2 linked regions of the Medicago truncatula genome follow. Each later gene encodes a partner of the first gene's protein in a complex. Links are inferred from orthologs where the notes say so. Each region holds a gene or a part of one and is shown in the gene's direction. Other genes may lie near its edges.

Evidence for each region.
Region 2: probable signal peptidase complex subunit 2 (region 1) and probable signal peptidase complex subunit 1 share a complex: the UniProt entries of both Arabidopsis thaliana proteins name them as parts of the signal peptidase complex. The link is inferred for Medicago truncatula from reciprocal best matches to the Arabidopsis thaliana genes AT2G39960 and AT2G22425.

The regions. Positions count from the first base shown.
Region 1 is NC_053046.1:36,325,985-36,333,232, reverse strand, and holds the start of probable signal peptidase complex subunit 2, read left to right. Parts: upstream 1-4,220; 5' UTR 4,221-4,312; coding exon 4,313-4,393; intron 4,394-4,500; coding exon 4,501-4,652; intron 4,653-5,549; coding exon 5,550-5,631; intron 5,632-6,825; coding exon 6,826-6,968; intron 6,969-7,113; coding exon 7,114-7,210; 3' UTR 7,211-7,248. Other genes in the region: peroxisomal nicotinamide adenine dinucleotide carrier, read left to right, coding at 1-25, 152-220, 430-484, 1,049-1,242. UniProt on the Arabidopsis thaliana protein: Component of the signal peptidase complex (SPC) which catalyzes the cleavage of N-terminal signal sequences from nascent proteins as they are translocated into the lumen of the endoplasmic reticulum.
Region 2 is NC_053049.1:38,610,068-38,615,999, reverse strand, and holds probable signal peptidase complex subunit 1, read left to right. Parts: upstream 1-4,048; 5' UTR 4,049-4,203; intron 4,204-4,942; coding exon 4,943-5,224; 3' UTR 5,225-5,367; downstream 5,368-5,932. UniProt on the Arabidopsis thaliana protein: Component of the signal peptidase complex (SPC) which catalyzes the cleavage of N-terminal signal sequences from nascent proteins as they are translocated into the lumen of the endoplasmic reticulum. Dispensable for SPC enzymatic activity.

The DNA.
Region 1 (7,248 bases):
TAGCAGTAGCGTAACTGCTTTAGAGGTATTTTCTCATTTCACTTCTGTAGGTAAAACTAAAATGACATATGAATGATTTCACTCACATTTTCTATTACGTAAGTTTTAAAATTTCCGCAACATTAGACTAAAGATTGCTTTGTGTAACTAGATATTTCTTCTCGGAGCTGTCGCTAAGCTTGGAGCTACAGTTGTAACCTATCCTCTTCTTGTTGTAAAGGTATATCATGCATTCATGCCATTTTTTGCGTTGTGTTTGTTAATATACTCCATTGTCAATAGTCGATATGTTTCATTTCTTAATTACATTGTGCTGGCATATCATTATTCTTAAGAACAAAAGGAGGAAGGAACTGACAAAATTAAACCAGGAAAGTGCATCCAAAATATTGTTCTGAATCTGTTTTGTTGATTTTGTTGCTATCGCAGGCAAGGCTTCAAGCTAGACAAGTTAACAATGGAGACAAGAGACACAATTATAAAGGTTTAAGTTGCGACAATCTTTTCTTATTATACCGTGAATACGGTTCATAATCCAATAGCTGCGTGTTTTATATGTACTTTCGATCTGGTTTTCCAAATGCGAGGTCATGAGCCCTGCTTTGCTTGAGTTAGATTATGATTATTGCTCTTGACTCTTGTTTAACATTGTTATAAATGCTTCTGCTATTGCTTCCCTGTCAATATGCATATTGGCCAAGTCAGCATAAGGAAATACTATGTGGCATGGCATCCATGTTTATTTGCTCTTAATAATTTGAACGGTGTTAGGTAGTATGAAGCACTAGCATGGACACCGGACACAGCAGAAGGGATTGTATGTAATTATTAGTGTCAGTGTCGTGTCGGTGCCCAGGACACTCGGACATGCCTTTAATCTCAAGTGTCAGTGCGACATATAGTTTCAATGAAGACTATAGTGATAATAACATTATAGAACTCATGTGTAGACTAGATCAAAATTATAGTGATTTAGGGACAAAAAAAGATGTTTTTACTCCTTATATTCTTTGATTACACTCTGAAGCAGTATGTTCTTCAAATTCAGGTACACAGGATGCTATTATTAAGATGATACGCTATGAAGGGTTTAATGGATTTTACAAAGGTATGGGAACCAAAATTGTACAAAGTGTTCTTGCTGCAGCTGTTTTGTTTATGGTGAAAGAAAAACTAGTTGAGCAGACTCGTTCCTTGCTTGCGAAGAATGTTCCCAACACTTTAAAGCCAAAAGTTGTGTGATTTGGCAAATCAAGTATTTTAGTTTCCCTCAGATTCAATGATTCACGAACCATCTTTATTTAGCATATTCAATTTAATCATAGGAAATAGACTGTGCCATTGAAAAATTTGTTACTTCATGAATAGGAGATTAAAATACGGCTTTAAAGTTTAAATATGATTATTATTCAAGACATGCTTCCAAATGGAAATTTGTGTTTAAACTTACATGCTAAGTCACTTGTATGTCATTTATAATATTTGCTTTCTCACTTTTGATGTAAAATTCTATGTTCAATAAATGGAAGTTGTAGTATTTTTTTCTGGCATCAAATTGTATATTCTATCATGTCCATCAAACCGACCCTAATATAGTCGAATGGTCAGCTAGTACTCACATATTGTTTGGTTCCAAATTATCTTGCTAGTGGATGATAAAGAAGTAACCATGCACCTCCACAATAGCAAGAATACTTATGATATGTTTGGATTGAGGGTTTTGGATAGAACATGAGGGGGAAACTTACGATTCTCTTCTAAATCACGGATGCTAACATATTTTCTCGAATCAATTAAATGTGATTGAAGTATTATATGATAACTTTCATGTTATTCTTTGAATTTTTTAAAGGTCGAATTAGTTTTCACTTTTCTCATAGTACTATATATTTTTGCCCTGCTAGGGACTCAAAGTGGTCATATATGGCCAACACCCTATTGAATAGGTTGAACAGACAAGTGAGAACTGAAAGCTTCTATTAGGTTATATTTGACTATAAAAAAAAGGAGTTAAATGCAATATTAACAAGTGTTTTGTTTTCTTTTTGAAGAAGATTAACGTGTTTTATTTATAAATAAAAAAAAAACCTCCAGCTATTTAATACAGTGATAAAAAAGTATGGATTTTATTTAATTGGGTAAAAAAAACTTATTATGGATTTTATTAAAGGGTCCTGCTAACCGGTGCCCCCGGGGCATTGGTTAAGCATACCATAAAAGAGAATTATTACCATAAAGAAAACTGTTTTTGACTTTATTATAAATTAATTACACAATTTCAATGTATTAACTACTATATAATTTCCTTTTTCATATCCTTAACCAGTGTCCCGGGGGCACCGGTTAGCATTTCCCTTTATTAAATTATGTGAGAAGGCGGACGATGCTTCAATATGTAGTGAATGCTCTTAAATCTTTTTAACTGTGTTAAACATTTTTATTTTTACTACTTATTTATGTTTTTTTTAAAACAAAACTCTTTTATGTTTTTAACATAGTTAATATATTTCTACCAAAAAAAAACATAGTTGATATATCTTTTGAAGCATTTCCAAACTTTTACATGATGAAATGCTTCATTATTTTATTAATCAAATAGTATTCCCTTCCCAATAAAAGTTTTTTTCTTTGAAAAAAACCTTTTAGGAAAAGTCAAATCTATATAAAAGTTTTACATATTTTGACTGACTGATTGTATTTTGGAGTGGTCTTTTTAGTATATCTTGTGCTAAAGAGGTTCCACTATCGTAGTAATATATTCCATTTTTAATTCTTAAAAAAAATAAAAAAGGATTTTCACAAGCAATTATTTTGTGAAAATATTTGTTTTTTTCCTCGCGTTTTAATAAAACATTATCATAAAAAAGTTAAATATTACATTTTCTTTTCAAAGGAAGTTAATAACGAAATTACACTTTTCGAAAGAAACAAATAACTTTGTAAATAAAAAAAACAAATAACGAAATTATACACAAGAGTTATGAAAATTTGCAGATTATAATTTGAACTCTAACATATCTAATATCTTTGCAAACTTTTTTTTTAGCAAGTCTTTGCGAGCTTTTAACATTTGTAAAGATTAATAAAACATTCACTGCCAAAAAAAAGATTAATAGTAAAACATTGTTTCAAAACTTTTATATGCTATCATAGGGGACAAACACGATTACACATTCGTGTAAAGTTAATTTACACCGGTTTCTCTAAAAAATTACCTGCGGGAAGTGCTTTTGTGGCTTTTGAATTGGAGTTTTACTCGAATGACAGAAGAACTAAATATCAAGCTAGTGTCATACCTCAAAATTTAGTACTATTTTAAATGTTTGTAGATTTTTTATTTTTTTCTTTATCAAAGTTCGGTAAAGTTTTATTGGAACACAAACTAATAAACTAATAAAGTTGTTCTTTTGTTAACCAGAGTGACATTGTCTATTTGTCTTTATCATAGCACATATTTTTATATTTTAACATGTATTATAACTATTTGATGAATAAAATGATTTAAGTTTGTGTTTGTCAAAAATAATATGTAAAATTTATTTAAATTGAAGTAGTGATATTTGTACAACGATTTTGTGATAATTTTTATAATCTTCTTTTTTTATCTTATAAAATAGTTGTACAAATATTATGTTACATTATTCGTTATTTTTATTTTCCTAATTCATTTGTGGCATTGATTTTTTTTTTGTGGTGGCCGGAGTTCGAACTCCGAACCTTGCATATTTTATGTATTATCGATAACAACTGAGTTAAGCTTACGAGGATAGTATGACACTGAGTTTTATTTTAATTTTTAATCTCATTCAATTAAAAATAAAAAATAAAATGCAATTCTCTAGTGTCATTTTACATGGGTTGAGTCCATATAGAGTTCTATTATGGTTTTAAATGATGTCATACAAGTTATATTACCAAATTTTAAAAAATTAATAAATAAAAAATGTAATAGATTTTTTATTTTTTAAAGGAAAAAAATTTAGTAGACTTGTAACCAAAAAAATAAGTTTAATAGAATTTTTTTCAGCAAGTTATTATTTTTTTTTGAGGGATTTAGCAAGTTTATTAGAATTAGACTTCCATCCAATCGTATTTTGCCACATAATTTATCCAATCAAATATTAGTATTGATATAATGCAAAAATAATAAAATCTGATTGGACCAAAATCTTACAATGACGTGCATCGTCACTTTCTGATGTAACAATCAATAAAATAAAAACGAAGGTTTTTATTATTCAGTGCGCAAATTCTCAGTTTTATTTCTTCTTCTCATCTGGGTCAAGCGAAGTCTCAGCGAAGAATTCGAAACATGGCAACCAAAGGACAGAAGAAAGCGAATCTGTTAGATCACCATTCAATCAAGCACATTCTCGATGAGTCTGCTTCTGAGGTTCGTTCGTTAAACCCTAATTTTTTTGATCTTGTTGTTTTTTGACGAATTTTGTTGTATTTTTGTTTATTAATTGGGATTGAATTGGTTTGAATTTTGGATTGTAGGTTATAACGGGTCGTGGGTATGTTGAGGATGTGAAATTGAGCAATATTAGGTTGTTGCTTGGGTCTGTTATCATCGTCATTGCTCTCTTTGCTCAGTTTTACAAGAAGAAATTTCCGGAGAATCGCGATTTCCTTCTTGCTTGCATTGCCTTATATCCTTTCCATACTTTTTATTTATTCACTGTGTGTATATGTGTGTGTGTTTAATTTAAAAAATATATATACATGCTTGATGATATTGCCTAGTGAGAGAGAAAAATTGGATTTTTTTGTTTACTGTTGTCAAATAGTGGATATAATGTTGATATAGGGTAGCCGAGTTTTAACAAACCACGTACACAGACACAGACATGGATATATCAGTACTAATTTAAGAAAATGGCATAATTGAATGAGATCACATGTGTCGATGTTGTGTCAGAGTCGGTTACGGTTTTGATCAGATGTGCCGGTGTTACAGAGCAAACCACTATTGATTCACAATATGCAATTTAGAAATTAAAATAAAAAGTGTTGTGAAATAACAATTATAGGAGAACTATATCACTGTAGCCTACTGGAATTTTAACAAACTGCTATTTTCTGTGATTTGTGATTGACGGTACTGTTTTTGTTATGTTTTTTATGGTTTGGATGGGGATAATTTGATAAATAAATATCTAAATTAAGGATTTTTCAAAATGAGAACTCTTTTTTGTATGTAGGAGTGTGTTTTTGTGTGTGTGTGTGTGTTCAAATTGAAAGGAGTGTGTGTTCAAATTAAAAGGAGCGTGTGTATTGGAAATGAAATATCTGCAATTAATTTTTTGAAGTAGAGTGGGATGTGGGAATTGTTTAAATTGAAAGGTGTGTGTGTGTATTGAAAATGAAATGTTTGGAATTAACTTTTTGAAGTAGAGTGTGATGTGGTAGTTGCTTTAATTGAAAGTTGTTGAGGTTTTTGCCTAAATGAATTTGATGATTTATGTGAAAAGGGATATGGGATTGTTTGTGTTTGTAAGTCTACTCATTCTTCTGCTTCATTGTTGTTTGATCCTTGACTCTCGTACGTATGTAGTCTTCAACTTGGTATTGCAGCTGATCATATACACTAAGGAGAAGAATGCCATTCTGTTTACTTATCCTCTGACTGTAAGTTTCTGTGAACTTAGCTAAAGCACATTCCTTTAAATAGCCCCCTGTTTTGTGCACTGATTCAATTGTTGTTTAATCTGACCATTTTAATCCACTTTCAACATATAGAAATAACATTTAAGAATTGTCATATTTCTATAATCTATTGTGTGCCATTTTGTGTCTGTTAGAGAAAGGGATTGAGACAAGAGTATACCTTTTTCTTACTGTTTCAATTAGCATGTTCCTTTTCCTCTTTTGGAGGGACAAATAATGCTAATGTCTGGTTAGTTTATTTAGGACTGTACTATAGTAAGGCATAAAGATACATACAAATACATTTATTTGAAGATGACTGTTTCAGCTCAAGAACCATGATAAACATTAAGCACTCATGTTAAACAGGGCATACACGAAGTTGACAAATAGCTGAAACTAATTGTGGTTTGATAAGCGAGTAATATTTATTTTATATTTAGTTGCATTTAACATTTTATTATGTATGGGCAAATAAATTAATGCTAAGGGACACTCTTTTCAACACTCACTTTCTTATTGGGACTCACATTGGTTGCACCCAATAAGAGAGTGGATGTTAGAGTGAGTGTTGAAAAAAGTGTAGCAATCCTCTGGGTAAATATAATCCGGTAGCACTCTATCATGTTCTCTACATCCTTTTTTTGAATTTCAATTTAAGTTGATAAAAGTTACAGCAGGATAATTTTTCACATCCATGGGTTAAAAACAAGGCTACCAAACTATTTATGCAGATTATGGCATGTCTTTAGGTTGAAAATTTGACCAGGATAGTGCCGCCTTTATCTTTGTTATTCTAAGTTTCATTCATTTTCATATGAAATTTGAGTTGACCTAAACTACTAAAGTTCTTTATGGTTTTGGTTGCTTTGAATCATAATTTGGATGTTGCTTCATTTTTCAATAGTGATTTAAAGAGGGTAAGTCATGACATGTATCAATTAGTGTCACGTGTGATGATGCAAACTGTTCGGTGTAGACTGTAGATATCTCATGTTTTGTCTTTGTAGTGGCTGCTGGTGATAGAATATATTATTTTCATTTATCTAAAAAAGATTTAGGTTCGTCTTTGAACTGTGTTAACAAATCAAGTAATGCTTTTGATTTTATTCTCTCAGCAGAAGTTTCAGACATACATCAGTGTGTTCCAACTTGGCTTTTATTTCTTTTTTACAGGGTTCCTTTACCAGTACCGGTTTGGTAGTTTCCTCCAAATTACCCAGATTTTCTGACATGTACACACTTACCATAGAAAGCGCCGATCCAAAATCGGTTTCTGCAAATGAACCAGTACATCTTACCAAAAGTGTTACCCAGTGGTATTTCTCTTTTTCCCTTCATCTCTTATATAATATCCCTTATATAATCATTCACACAGACACCGGACATGTGAATCAGTAATCACGCGTGCATTGATTTTTTGGTAATCGAAATGCATCAATCTGTCTTTTGTTTGGATTTCAGGTTCACTAAGGATGGAGTCTTGGTCGAGGGCCTCTTCTGGAAGGAAGTTGAAGCTCTAATTGCTCAATATACAAAAGAACCAAAGAAGAGTAAGTGATATGGAGTCATGAACTTAGTTCTGCAAAGAGCTTTTAT
Region 2 (5,932 bases), on another chromosome or scaffold:
AAAAGAGACAATTTCTATGTTGGAGAGATTTTTTGGTGACATTTGAATTGAATTTTGTTGGAACTAACGGAAGGGTAAAGATGTTAATTCAAATGGAGTGAAACATTGATCCATGTGTATAGTTTTAATAGGAAGCGAGTAAAAATTACGTGTATATGATAAATTTTGTACTTCATTAATTATAAATTTATCCTTCCTAAAACCCCCATTCACTATTTGTTTTTACTGTTTGTAGTTTTATTTATCGCAATGTTTATCACAATTGTATTTTTTTTCTTTCTCAAATTGTTAATAATAAAGTGCAATAAAAAATAAGAAAGTTAAATGGAACTGCTAATGCAAAATTGTTGTAACAGTGATGATTATGAGAATGCTTAGACAAAATGGTTAAAGGACAAACACCATGGGTGTACAATTTGATTATAGAACTGCAACTAAGTGGAACCGATATTATTTAAAGTAGCAAGTTAAGGGTGGAATTGGAGAGTAGATAGTAGAAATAAACAATGCTTTGTAGTCCCACATCGCTGCAAAGAAACATTGCATTCATTAACTTGTTTTAAATAACTGTCAATAACACTGTTTCATATGTAGGCTTGTTAGAATCTCCTCTCAAAACTGTGTTTTAGTTTTTAAAAATTAAAAATAGTTTTTGAAAAGAGAATCAAACATGTTACTGTCTGTTTGTGTTATGTGTATTCTGCCACCTCTTGTAGCGCATACCATGGTGATAGTGCTGGCTAGCACTATTTTCATGGTAACATCCGAGTTCAAAATTCTTTCCGGTATCAACGTTGGTCCACCATAATCATGTTTCTCTTTTTTGTTTCCAAACAATGATCATCATTCCTCACATATGCCGGAGGTGTGATTCAAAGCATCCAAAGCGAATGTAACTATAAAGATGAAATCCATTAAAAAGTAGTTTTATTATTCTTTTTTGAATCTGAAGCCTTAGGTCCATAAGTCTATTGTTATGGTGATTTGATTTTTATATTAATAATGCAGATTTGCTTTCTTAGCTATCAATCTTCTTGCGAATCTGATCGTTAATTTGTGCTTGAGCAAAGTGAATATCAACAAGAATTTAGCTTGGTAAGGACCATCAGAATTATGTTTGTTTATAAGTAATGGTACTTTCTCATGTATTTCACATCACTTGAGGGCTGATCAGCTGGTGCTAACTTCAAATGCATCACAATTACACCTTTAATATATCTTCTAATCCATTTTGTTGTTTGCTAATTAGATTGTCGACATTAATTCATAATTTACCATCCCAATGTGTAAGATATGTAAGGTCTTGTTGTAGTTAAATATCTTATATTTTCCTTTAAACCTATGAAATTAGTTGCATTGACAAGGTTACCCCCACCTTTTGTAAGCTTTAATCTTTGTAAGATTGGTTTACAAGTTTTCATTTTAGAATTCTTCAGACATTTGTTTAACCTCAGTGGCCAATAAGTAAGATATCAGATCCATGTATTTCAAATTGTGTCGTAACATTCTCCTTGAATTCAGCTAATAATTTGGAGATGTTGCCATTGAAGATTAAGTCATGCCTATAAACACGCTAACAATATTTCAATGCTTGTTGTTTTTGACATTTAAGTGTTGGATTCAAGTGTGAGTGGTTAATATCAGGTCGACTATCAATGAACTAAATGTTGAATATATAAGGGATGTGGCTTATTTACCTAATAAAATAAGGTTTTGATTAATGATATGATATCTAAATCTCTTAAGGGTCTTTGACGTTCAACTTTTGATTTTTTTATTTCTTTTCTTCTGTTGGCTCAACAAAATATTCATCTAAAATGGATCCATAGCCACTAGATTTTTATCATAGTACCGTTCCGACATAGCAAAGTTGTTCTCCATCAGACTTGTAAAACATTGATTGCACTTTATGAAATTGAACTTGATGTCATCTTGATTGAACCTGGATCTTGATACTAGGTTTGGCAATTTAAACAGAATACTGAACTCCCAAACATGATTTTAATTTAGCAGCACAAAAGCTTTGCATATGGAACTGCAAGTAATATTATTACAAGTGAGTGGCAAGTGAGGTGTGAGGAGTAGAAAGAAAGTAAAAAGTGTTTTTAGTCCCACATTGCCACCAAAGGAATTAACATATGTGAACTTGTTCTACATTAACATCACATGTGAACTGAAACTTTAACAAAGTGAATATGCATGAGGCATTTTATTGTTGTCCCAATGTCACTGTTTCTGTACATCGCTGACATGTCAATTTTGTGTTGTTGGCGGGGGTGCAGTTTCATTGGCATTGTTTGTGATGACAAAAATTTAGTTTAAAATACACTTTGATTGAAGGAATGAATTAATTGCTTTTTTTTTCTTCTTTTCAATTAAGGTATTAAGTTCCTATTTCGTAAATTTGAAGATGAACTTAACGCTTACTTTAAGGGCTAATTAAAATGTCTATTCACTTGATCTAGATTTGGTTTAAGCACTTTAATCATATGTTTTGAATTTAAAGTCTATGAGCACATTGTGGTTGTTGGGACCATATTGCAGCCGCAGTTGTGGCACATCAGCACATTTGTTAGCTATTTTCGGCAATTTCAATACAACTAGAACCATTACAATTTTTTAAAACCATAAGTACTATCTTATGGTCTGCTTGGATTGAATTGTCTAAATTTCAAACAAGTGTTAATCTCTGAACCATTTGTAACCATAACATGGGAAGGTATGTGCAGTTCGCGACTGAATATTGCATACAAGAGTTATTAGAAGCTTATGACACAAACAGAGGAAACACAAATGATGGATGGAAAATGGTCACAATGGAGTTTGAGACATCAAAACGCAGGGTAGGTTCATTTCACACTTTTTGAAGCCGGATATTAAAATTTGGAGAAATGATATTGAACGATCATTTTAGAACAACTTTTAGCGGTATATAGTTTTTGTCTCAAAAGAAAAAAAATATTCTAAAATGATTTTAGAAACATCATTTATCTTAAAAGTTAATTATTCATTTTGTGTATATTGCATTGAAATTTAGACCTTGTTTAAGTTCATGGGGGCATTTTTTTAACTTACAAACTTTCTTTGGATTATGAAAAACACCGGGTGAATGTATTATGTTTTTTTTTTGGTTGAAAACTCAATATCCGATTCAATGATCGATTAATTCGAATGGACCAATTCTACCGTCCACTTGCGGAGACCCCGTTCTAAGCCTGTACTGTATGGATTTGCCCGCCGAAATTGACACTATAAGAATCAAACCTGAGACCTTGAGAAAAGCAAGCACACTTCAAAATCTCAAGTCAACCACTAAGCCAACCCCAAATAGATTGTGAATGTATTATGTTAAATGTCTCTTTAAAATCATCATCAAAGAAAACAATTTTAACATTTCTACGAAATATGTTTACCGTGAACAAATGCAATATAAGTAAAAGTGAGAAAAGTGACCATTCTAAAATTAAAAGTATTTTTTTTTTTAATTTTGTTATGATTTTTTTATGATAAAATAAAAAAATGCTTAAAATGAGAACATATTTGAATAACTCATCGTAAAAGTCATTTTTGACATATCTTTTTTGAAAAAATATGTTTTTTTTTTAATTTTTATCTTGTTAAATCTTTAACAATGAATATTTAAGTTACTCAATGTCAAATTTTTTGAGTAATGTAGGATTAAAAACAAACTGCAAACAACCTCATTTAAAATACAAAAAGCTTTAAAACCAACTTCATTCAACAATAATAGATAATATACTTTGAAGAAGTTAAATTAGATCTTGGCGAAGAGCTGAGTGGATTAAAAATGAGTTGTAGATTATAAATGTAAACACAGATAAAATAGCAAATATTTAAAAATAATAATCCATCGGTTATAATTTAGAAACAATTTTTTTTTAGGAAAGATGAAGAGACAATGTATTTTTTATTTTTTTGAGGGAAAGAAACAATTTATATGTTGCAGCAATTTTGCTGCGGAGCCAATTTTTGGAATTACGGAACGGTAAAAACATAAAGACATTACGTGTAATAATCGACGTGTATAATTTTAATTGGCAGAGAGTAAAAACATTACGTATATCTAATGTTAAGTTAGAAAGGGTAAGAAAAGCTGAGATTAAAATTCATAAAGACATTGAATTGAATTCGATCGATCAACACCACCACCTTCTTCCTTCTTCTCCGTTTCTCTCTCATAAGGTATCATCACACTCCGTTTTTACTTTCGTTTTCTTTTCCAATTTTCATTGCATATTCCCTTTTTATACGCTTTCACAACCAGCTTTTAGGTACACACTGATTTTCAATTTTGATATTTTTTTTTATTTTTTTTTAAAAATTTTAATAACATAATATCGCCATAATAGATCTAGTTATAAGCATTTTAAAACTGGACTGACTTATGTCCATAAGCTGTTTTACAGCTTATTTCCATATGCTCTCTCGGATAGTTTGTGAAAATAACTTGTTGTTTATATGAAAACAGTTTGACTTTATTGTGTCTATTGCTATAGAAATAGATAGCTTATACATAAGTACTTATATTATATACGTTTGTGATTTAAGCTGTTTATCAGTAAATGCAATCTTAAGTATTAGATGTAAGGACATCATAAACATGTATAACCCCTTTCACAAATGAAAGAGTTTGGTTTGTTAATTTACTTTTGCTTTCTGAAATTTTTATGTGTATTGATAACATGTATTTGGCTTTCAAAATATGGATGGGGAATGTCTCACCTCGTAACCAATTTGATTGTACCCTCGCTATTTTAGCATTTGAATGAAGTTTTTTTTTACCGTAAAAAAAATGTATAACCCTTTTCATGGCTTTAAATATTCCTTGTGTTTTGTGTTTTTTTTTTTTTTTAAAGTAATGTTTTTGGCATTCATTTCTTAGTGGTTAAGTGTTTTCTCTTGATTGTCTTTGTTGGATTAGATGGATTGGGAAGGTCAAAAGCTAGCAGAGCAACTGATGCAGATACTGCTGCTAGCATTTGCTGTGATTGCGTTTGGAGCTGGATATATCACGGCTTCTTTCCAAACAATGATCCTCATATATGCTGGTGGTGTTATTCTCACCACATTAGTCACTATTCCCAATTGGCCCTTCTTCAACCATCATCCTCTTAAGTGGTTAGACCCGAGCGAAGCAGAAAAGCATCCAAAGCCAGAACCATCTTCGAATGTAGCTGCAAAGAAAAAATCCATTAAAAAGTAGGTTTATTTTTTTGTTGCTTATGTTGGTACTTAGTGATTTAAAGTTTGAAGTTGATGCTTCGAAAGAAATTTGCATTTCCTTCTGCACAATACAATGTACTTAACTTCTTAGAGTACAATTATATAATTGTTTTCTTTTCGACATTGCTTGTCTCGATTGGCATTTACCTTTATGCTTTTTTTTTTCTCTCTTCTTTTCATCTCTTTTAGATATTTGATAATATAATGGGGCAGACTAACATTTGTCTTCTGATTCTTGTTGGTGTTCAAAGTCGGTCCCTAGCATAACTTATTGCTAAATGATTTGAGCTACTCAAAGTACTGCCTTCTCTAACAGTGCTCACTTTTAGTGTAGCACTAGCCCCCTTCGCCCTTCGGTGCTGATTTACTGAATTGGGTTGGCATATATAACTGTTACTGTTTATGGTTTTCAAAGAAATTGGTTTTATATCTTAACCAAGAGGATTCTTGTAGCTTCTGTTACATATACAAATCGAGAAACTTTTCTCGTTTTAGTGCTCACTTTGTAATGTATTCTTCACACTTTGCCATCACTCCTTTTGTATGTTTGGTGGAACCTTTTTGAAAAATGTAGACATGTGGTGTTTTTTGCAAATTACAAAATGAGTCGGTGATATCGATAACTTTAGCGAGGCAGCCTGAAATAATCTGGAATGATATATTGACTGCAACTTTGCATCTGCTACTA